Linked DNA regions of Ovis aries. The protein of the gene in region 1 interacts with the protein of each later gene in a pairwise test. Links are inferred from orthologs where the notes say so. Each region holds a gene or a part of one and is shown on either strand. Other genes may lie near its edges. The genes, in order: GRB7 and LAX1.

Evidence for each region.
Region 2: the proteins of GRB7 (region 1) and LAX1 interact in binary tests that used the Homo sapiens proteins (3 or more experiments, as listed by UniProt). The two-hybrid records come from large-scale screens. The link is inferred for Ovis aries from reciprocal best matches to the Homo sapiens genes GRB7 and LAX1.

Annotation. Positions count from the first base shown.
Region 1 is NC_056064.1:39,846,677-39,851,184, forward strand, and holds the start of GRB7 (growth factor receptor-bound protein 7), read left to right. Parts: upstream 1-1,427; 5' UTR 1,428-2,279; intron 2,280-2,804; exon of another isoform or gene 2,805-4,508. UniProt on the Homo sapiens protein: Adapter protein that interacts with the cytoplasmic domain of numerous receptor kinases and modulates down-stream signaling. Promotes activation of down-stream protein kinases, including STAT3, AKT1, MAPK1 and/or MAPK3. Promotes activation of HRAS.
Region 2 is NC_056065.1:1,326,172-1,330,770, forward strand, and holds the start of LAX1 (lymphocyte transmembrane adapter 1), read left to right. Parts: upstream 1-1,650; 5' UTR 1,651-1,890; intron 1,891-2,220; exon of another isoform or gene 2,221-2,226; 5' UTR 2,227-2,330; coding exon 2,331-2,419; intron 2,420-4,599. UniProt on the Homo sapiens protein: Negatively regulates TCR (T-cell antigen receptor)-mediated signaling in T-cells and BCR (B-cell antigen receptor)-mediated signaling in B-cells.

The DNA.
Region 1 (4,508 bases):
TCTCCCCGATTGGGCTGCATGAAGATAACGGTGGGATCTGTTTTGTTGCTCACTATATCCCCAGTGCCAAGCATGCGGTTGGCATATAGTAGGTACTTAACAAATATTAGCTGAGTGAATGAAGAATTGATTGAGTGAATTGTCTACCGTGTTTTTCACATGATATCCAGTGACCCAGGTGACCTTGCCTCTTTCCCCACTTCTTCACTTAGTCCAGTCTGGTTTTTTCAAGGAAAACTGAGTTTGGGGAAAGTTGAGCATCCAGTCACTCCTCCAGGTCCCCCAGGGCAGATCTCTTATCACCCCTATGAACTGTTTGTTTACTGAACTGTCACCCACTTGTGGGATGCGGCTGGTGCCTTTGATCTCAGTCTCCTAGGCCCTCTCTCCAACCTTGTGTTTGCCTACTGCTGAAGGCCAGCGCTAAGGGGAGTCCCCTGGCACCTGGCCAGAGCTTTCCCCAAACGACTTCTGCCACTGGGAGACCTTGCCTAACCCCTTCAATTTCAGAAGGAAAACCTGAGACTGTGGACTTTGCTTAGAAGGGAGGGTATATGCTGGGTGCCCCTGAGGGGCCAGGGTGCAGCCTGGGTGGTCAGACTGTGGCTGGAGGTCAAGGGGCAGGCCGTGTTGCTGGACATCCTTCTGGCTGGCTTCCCTCTTTCATAGAGTGCCCTTTGCCCCAAGGGGTAAGACCCTAAGCAGCAGACAGGCCCCCTAAATTGGGCAATGAACAGACCAGATTTGGGAAGGGGCGTGGGGAAGAGTAGGCGAGTCCCTTTTCTCTGATCTTCCAGGTCCCTGCTCCTCCCTCCCAGGTCATGAGGACTCTAGATCTTTGCTTTCGGGGCTGTACAGTTTGACTGTTTCTCCCCTGGCACCTGCTACAGAAAGACAAAAACAATCCCAGCCAGGGTAGAGTGTCAGGGAGTCCCCGCCCCTCCTCCAGTGCTTCCTCCTCCCATGCCCCTCCCTCAGGCCCCGCCCCCACCTGCCCAAGATAATTTGTTTCCTTGGGTCAGAAGCCTGGACAACAGAGCTCAACCTCCCCCGACTCCTACGTTCAAAGTCGGGACACTCTCCTACACCTGTAGAGAAGAGGGAGGGGGTTTGAGATCAAGCCCAGGTACCTGAGGTTCCTAGACAGCGCCGGACTTCGGACCCTGTGTCCTGCTACTCCAGCTGGGGCTCCTCCAGGTAAGGGCACCGAGACTGGTTGCAGACGACAATCTGCTCCCACTCCCAGCTGCACCAGGGCCCCAGGCTGTGCCAGTCTCAGGGCCAGGAGCTGACTGGATGGCTGCCCAGGTGGGCAGGACAGGAGGCCGCCCGGCTCCCCCTCCCTTCCCCTCTTCAGTGATGTCAGGCCAAGGGCGGGGAAGGGGGTGGGGGGGACAGGTAGTTAAGAGCTTGGCATCTCCCTTCCTAAATCGGTGGCCCCAGCCAGGTGTGCCAACACCCAGGGTCCAGGTAAGGACCAGAGCGCGGCACTTCGTCTTGGGGGCGGGGAGCACCAGTAGATCCCGGAGAAAGATGTGGAGATCTTTGGAGAATATGGAGAAAGATGCCGCCTCCTGCTGTGTTTTCCTGGAGGCCTCACTTTCTCTTTTCCTCCAGCCTCCCATCCTGCCCCCTCCTCACTATCTGCCCTCGGTCTTTCCCTGTTCTCACTCCCTGTTCTCTCCATTCCTTCGTCCCTCTCCACCCCGCCCCCCAACAGCCCCAAACACACACTCCAACCTGCTGATGGGGTCAGGGAAGCAGGAATCCAGATTCTTTCCTCCCCGAGAGGGGCGGATTTCCCGCTGAAACTAGCCCCTCCCCACGTCCCCAGAGAGAGAGCTGGGAGGGGTGTCCCAAGCCGAGGGGGCAGCCCCAAGTGTCTCCAGGCTCCGTCTGCTTTGACCCCAGTTTGAGTTCCCCCAAGTCTTTATTAAAGACAGATGTCTCTGTGGGGGCAGTGGGGCACCCTCCAATTTGGAGGGCAGTAAAGGAGACAGATTCTCTGAATTGCATCCGTACTCAGCAATACAGGCTTCCCTGGTAGATCAGCTGGTAAAGAATCTGTCTGCAATGCAGGAGACCCCAGTTCAATTCCATTCCTGGGTTGGGAAGATCCCCTGGAGGAGGGCATGGCAATCCACTCCAGTATTCTTGCCTGGAGGATCCCCATGGACAGAGGAGCTTGGCGAGCTACAGTCCTTGGGGTCGCAAAGAGTCAGTCACGACTAAGCAACTGAACTGAACTGAGCGACTCAGCACAGCCCTCCGGTGGGAAGGTAGGGGGTGGGACAGGCCCCGGGGAGGGGGGTGGTCCCTCTGGCTTAAGAAAGAAGTGGTCTAGGTAGGCTGAAGGGATAGATGCTGGGGGTCTGCAGCGCAGTAGGGCCTGGGGAGAGTGGGTGCGCTGTGCGCATGGGGGAGGGGGGCAGATTGCCTTGTCCGTCTGAACAGTCTTGGGGAAGACTCATCCCAGTCGGGGTCTCCCTGGCACGCTGGGGATGGAGAATACTCCTGCCTGCCCTTGCCAGGCCTTCCAACCCCACTGCGCCTCGAGAATGCCCCCTCTTGGTCTGCCTGTCCTGGACTCTGCTCTCCCCTCTCCACCCCCCGCTATCGTGCTGGGGGGGCCCCCCGTGAAGGCAAGCAGCCTGTAATGATTAACTCCACAGACACTCTAGCATTCTTCCCGAATTAAACTTTAAAAGAGCTGCCCCCCTCATTCCCATTGGATGTTTTTCCCCTAGTGAGGGAGGGGGCGGGGCCGCAGGGTCCGGGGGCCCTCCCCCAGCTCCAGGTCAGCTAGGGGTTTCCCGCCTCCTCACCTGAGCCCTCACCCTAAGGGCTCCCCCACAGGTAAAGCCTTCCTCCTAACTAAATCCCGATGCGGGCGGGGCGTGGGGTTCCTGGGCCTGGCGGGGGCCTTCCCGCCACCTCCAGGCCCCAGCTCCAGCCCCTCCCCACCCCACCCCACCACCCCACCCGGTACCGAAGGTGGCCTTGTTTTCTACCGGCCCGGCCTTCTACCCTGAGCCCTGCCACCCACCCTCGGGGCCAGCCAGGTGGGGCAAGATTCAGGAAGTAAACAAGGAGGCTGGAGGCGGGAGGGCTGGAAGGAGGGTGGGGCCCGAGCCACGGGGGCGGGGAAGTCGCAGAAGGGAGTCACAGTACTAAGGGGACAGATTGATGTGGGGGTCGATTTCTTCAATATAACCTTCCCAGGGCCCCAGTTGGAAAGTTTCAGGTCTCTTGGGGGTGGTTGAGGGGGCTGCCCAGGGGAGACAGCTAGGATCGGTTTCTCTCGCCTCTCCTCTCTTTGGTCCTGACTCCCGAGTCCTGTCCTTCCTTAGAGGGGTCTGGAGAGCTGGGTGATGGGATCTGAAGGCTAAACCCATCCAGAGTCAGCCTTCCCGCCCCCCACAGAGGCCAGACTCAAGTCTGATTCAAATCTACCCTCTCCCTTTCCAAACGCTGCCCAGATTCCCCTTCCCTCTGGGATGGGAGAGGATCCAGGCCTCCTGGTCTCAGACCACGCCACTGTTGGTCTCTGGCTTCCTGGAGCGGGTGGTTCCTGCAGCCCTTCCCCTAGTCCCCCCTGGGATGAAGTGAGCAGGGCTGTTTGCCAGAGGTTAGACGGGGGTGGGAGTGGGGGCCTTGTGTTTTGGTGTTGACGTGCTGGTGTCTCTTGGTGTTCCATGGTAGGTGGATCTTTCCCTTCCTGGCAGGGCCCCCAGCCTCGTCGCTGGCTCTCCCTCCTGGCCTTCCCCTGTCTGCCTGTCTGTGTCTGTCTTCCTGTGTGTCTTGACTTTCCACTCCTGCTGCTGAGTATGCCTTTGATCAGAACGCCCAGGAGAGTATATGAATTAAAAGGACCCTCATTTCCCAGGGATGATAAGGATGAGACCCTCCCGGGCCAGCCGAGTCCTGGATGCTAAGGGTGGGCAGCAGCAGCAGAATGCAAGTCTGGGGGGCTCTGGACAGGAGAAGGAGCACTGCATGTTTCTTTGGGTTACTTTAGGTACCCCAGGGGCACCCCTGTGAGGTCAGCTCCACTCCAGATGGGCTTCTGAATCCCGGCCAGGCTTTTCTTCTCTCCCGCCTGGGTGAGGGGGCTCCTGGGCTGGGTGGTGGCTACCTGGGGCCCTTTGCAGGTTGCACCTGGACCTGGACTGGAGGTAGGCCAAAGGTGGGGAGGAGGAGATGATGTCAGAGGAGCCTCAGCCTCCCCCCCCCCCCCCACATCTTCCTCCTCCCCAATCCTGTTCTTGTGGTGGGGGGGGGAGTGGAGGGGATGGGTAGAGGCAGGGTTGTTTGTGTTTCTCCTAAGCCAGGAAGTAGTGGAGATGAGTCAAGGGTGAATGGAGAGCTCCAGGCAGTGTGTCCCGCCCCACCCTGACTCACCTGTCCCCCAAATCTCCTCTTGTCCTCACTTAAAGGTTGGGGACCTGTCTCATCCCAGGTGCGGGGAAGGGGGGCAGATCTTGGGTGCCTTAGGCAAGCTAACAGCG
Region 2 (4,599 bases), on another chromosome or scaffold:
TAAGCAGGGTGACAATATACAGCCTTGATACATTCCTTTCCCAATTTGGAACCAGTCCATTGTTCCATGTCCTGTTCTAATTGTTGCTTCTTGACTTGCATACAGATTTCTCAGGAGGCAGGTAAGGTGATCTGGTATTCCTATCTAAGAATTTTCCACAGTTCATTGTGATCCACACAGTCAAAGGCTTTGGCATAGTCAATAAAGCAGAAGTAGATATTTTTCTAGAACTGTCTTGCTTTTTCTATGATCCAGCAGATGTTGGCAATTTGATCTCTGGTTCCTCTGCCTTTTCTAAATCCAGCTTGAACATCTGGGGGTTCACGGTTCACGTATTGTTGAAGTCTGGCTTGGAGAATTTTGACTATTACTTCGTTAGCGTGTGAGATGAGTGCAATGGTGCGGTAGTTTGAGCATTCTTTGGCATTGCCTTCCTTTGGGCTTGGAATGAAAACTGATCTTTTCCAGTCCTGTGGCCACTACTGGGTTTTCCAAATTTGCTGGCATATTGAGTATAGAACTTTCATAGCATTATCTTTTAGGATTTGAAATAGTTCAACTGGAATGCCATCACCTCCACTATTTTGTTCATAGTGATGATTTCACACTCCAGGATGTCTGGCTCTAGGTGAGTGATCACACCATCATGATTATCTGGGTCATGAAGATCTTTTTTGTACAGTTCTTCTGTGTATGCTTGCCACCTCTTCTTAATGTCTTCTGCTTCTGTTAGGTCCCTACCATTTCTGTCCTTTATTGAGCCCGTCTTTGCATGAAATGTTCCCTTGGTATGTCTAATTTTCTTGAAGAGATCTCTGGTCTTTCGCATTCTGTTGTTTTCCTCTATATCTTTGCACTGATCAAGTGGTTAAAGGCAACACCAGAGCAGTTAGGTTTAAAACACATATGCGGTCACCAGGAGTGAATGGTTTTCTTCTACTATCAGGACGAATTGCTTCAGACACCTGGTTTCTGTTTTGAGTGGTTGGTTTAATTGGTTTACTGTGGCGAGGGCAGGGGTGCAGCCAGAGCCGGAAGACCCAGAGCTCAGTCTGAGGCCTGGGAGCCTCCTGTGAGGAGGCTGTTTCCCTCAAGCATGGGGGCAGGAGAAAATAAGAGGGGATGGAAGACTTGGCTGACTCAAACACGCTGTGTAGATGATAAGATCACACAAGGGAAAACCTTGAGATGGTCGCAGGCAGGGGGACGTTCTTCAAAATTTTGTTAAAGCAGCTGTCGAGGTTCTGAGGTTTGGCTCTGTCTGCTTCCCCATCTGCCGTCTTCCAGACTGCCCGTGCGCATGCCGTCTGCTCTTGGCACCAGGTTTGGGAAACCCTGCACCCACGGAGCCAGCCACAGGCACCCAAAATCTGTATTTGTTTCTAAAAAGCACCTTCCAGTGCTCCTCAGACGCTGAAACAAACACTGTCAATCCGGAGGCCGATAAAACTCAGTATCACAGAAACCCAGGGGGAGCAATCACACACACCCTATCACCTTGACCCCTCTTGAATCACGCTCCCCGCAGACCACAGCGCATCAGCCAGCCCAGGCAACAGGGTGCAGGCGCCCTTGCTTCTATCATATTGAGAGCTGAGCAGCACTTCCTGGGCCCCAGGCTTCATCAGCACGTCGGTGGTACTGCTTCCTGTGGCTGACTATCTGTTTCCATTCTGGCAAAGTGTTTGCTCTCTTCTCTCTGCTTTGGGGGTTTGGGGGAGGATGAACTTCTCAAGGAGCCCGTCTCTGCCCTCTTGGCCGTCTCCCCCTCGGAGCCCCGCACGTCCCCGCCACAAGGCAGAGCGTCTGGCGTCCCCCTGAGCCGAGCTGGGGAGCTCCACACCCAGAAGCGCTCTCCCCTCTTGCAGTCAGCATCGCAGCCACAACCAGGTAGAGCCAAACTTGCTGTTTTGTATTTTGGGTCAAGTCAGCCTGACATTTCAGGGATAGACGCAAGGTAGAGTTGGTTGTGGGAGAGAAAGTTCTAGAAAGAAAGACTGGAAGCTTTAGAAAGGGAGAAGTAAAAACCAATAGACTTTTTGTGATGGATTTTGATAAAGATTTAAGAAGATGAAAATTTGAGAGTCGAGTTGTATGTCAAGGAAGGTTCAGAAAATGGAGACCAGGAGGATTTCTGTCATTCTTCTTTACTAAAAAAAAATGCTTATACTAGATGGGATTATATGTAAAAGACAAACCAATTCTGCCTTTTCTCTTGAGAGTCAGCAGTTTAGGAAGAGACAGGAAAAGTGGCAAGCTGACTGGCAAGCTGATGACGACTAAGAGAAGGCCTAGGAGGAGAAGCTGAAGCCAGAGAGGGTCGCAGAATAATGGATGCCACCACGTCAGCACAGTCGGAGCCCGCAGGGAGAACCTCAGAGCCCAGCACTCTGCGGGGAACCCTCGGCAGCCTGAACAAGTGAGTGCCAGGGGCGGTGAGCGCTCCCCTCCCCTGATTTAGAAAGAGGGTCCTGGTCTATCCTGGGGAGCTTCTACCCCAGCAGCCTTGCCACCCCTCACCAGGCTCTCGTTTCCTAAGACCGCTAAACTCTTGGCTCAGAGAGGTTTGCTCAGAACTGCTGGGAGGAAAGGAATAGGTATTGCGAACAGAAAGGAGTTGTTGGGAAGAGAGGAAATATGATAACACACCACTTCCTTAGAGCTGGCTTCCTGGCATGGCTGGGTTTCTCATGCTCAGAGGCCCGCATGGCGGTCCTTGAGCTTTCCTTTTTCAAGTCCCACGGATCACTCCTCAAAGAAACAGAAGCAAAAACCAGTTTCTACTCTGATGGAAACAAACGGCCCACTTTTTACACAGATGTGCTTTTACGTCCTAAACACTTGCCATGAATGAAAATGGAATCACAGATATGATAAAGACACAGCCTTGGATCATAAAACCCCACAGCATTAATCATAGATGTAAATCTTACAGTTAAAACCTTCAATATTATATTAACAAAAAGTCCATCAATACTTGAAACTTTGACACTGAGAGGTATTGATTTCAGTGCAGTGATAAAAGCACAGCTCAACAGCAATAAATTAAAAATCACTGTAGTTTGGGGAGGTAAATGTCATTACCATGATAAACAAATACCTGTCCCCTGCAGGTGGACAAGGTCGTTGATGGGGAAGGAATTCATAAAGTGTCAGAATCCTGCAGCACTCCTCCAATACTATTTCTACATCCATTCATTTGATAATTTATTCATTCATTCATTTAACAAATATCCATCAGGTTCCTACTGAGTGCCAAGCACGGTGGCAGGCACAAGGTGAATAGGACAGACAAGGACAGCCTCCTGGAGGTTACAGTTAAGTGGGAGGGTCAGATACAAACAGATGAACAAAAGCATGGCTAGCATAACATCAGTCAGTCGTAAGCTATGAAGAAAAACCAGGGCAGAGTAAGGGGACTGGAGGACCCAGGAGGGTGTGACTAGGGAGGACCTATCTGAGGAGGTGACATTTCAGAAGAGTCCTAAATTAAATGAGGGGATTGAACTGCGGGAGAGGGAGCAGCGAGACTGAGACAAGACTGTGCTTTGCTGGAAGCAGCATGGAGTCCTGGTCATCAAGGTCAGAGGAAAATAGTAGGAAAGGAGGTCAGAGGCAGGCAAAGGCAGAAGAGAAGAGGCCGTCACATTCTCACCTGTTAGGGACAATGGATGCTATCCCACGTGTGATGAGAAGTCATGGGGGGTTGCAGAGGGGGCACGTGATCTGATTTAACCGTTCAGAGGATCACTCTAGCTCCTGTGTGAACATAGTATGTTGGGGCCAAGAGTGAAAGCAAGGAGCTCATTAGAGAGGTTCTGGCAAAGGTCTGTGTGGAACTAGTGGTGGCTCAGACCGAGGTGGTGGCAATGGAGGAGCAAGAGGTGATGCTTTGGGGTACATGTCCCGGTTGAGCAGATAGAAACTGCTGGTTAACTAGCAGTGGGGTGTGAAAAAGAAAACATTCAAGAATGGCTCCAAGGGTTTTGACCAAGCCATCAGATGACAGGAAACACCAGAGGAACAGGCTTATGGGGGGTGGGGGAGAACAGGAGTTCTGTTTTAAACATTTTTGGTTTGAGATGTCTATTAGGTTACTACATGGAAATGTCCGGTATGAAACTGGGTGAACAAGTCTAGAACTCATAAGGACAAAAACCTTCCCTGATGGATGACCTGGTTTCTAGCATTTGGAGGGGCAAGTCTGCTAGTGATGCACTCTGTAACCTCAACTGGCTGCTTCCTATAGCCAAAACAGAGCTAGCCTGGCCCTGCCCAGGAATTGCGAACAGCCCGGTCCTTACCCAGCGCATCTGCATGGTCAAATTCCACAGCAGAGCAGAGTGTTGCTTGAAGACCAGCCCCACAAGCTGATGCTACAGGGATTATTAAATGCAAGCAACCTGGACTCTTGTCCCAGAGCTGCTGCTTAATTGTAAGTGGATAATCTCTTCCAAGCAAGACAGAAAGCTGAGGGGCAGGGAACAGGGTAAGCAGGAGCAAATGGATTTGACAAGTTTGGAAGACAGTGTGAAGCCATAGAAAGAACAGTCTTTGGGCCCAAACAGACCTAGATTTCACATTCCATCATGCTCCTTC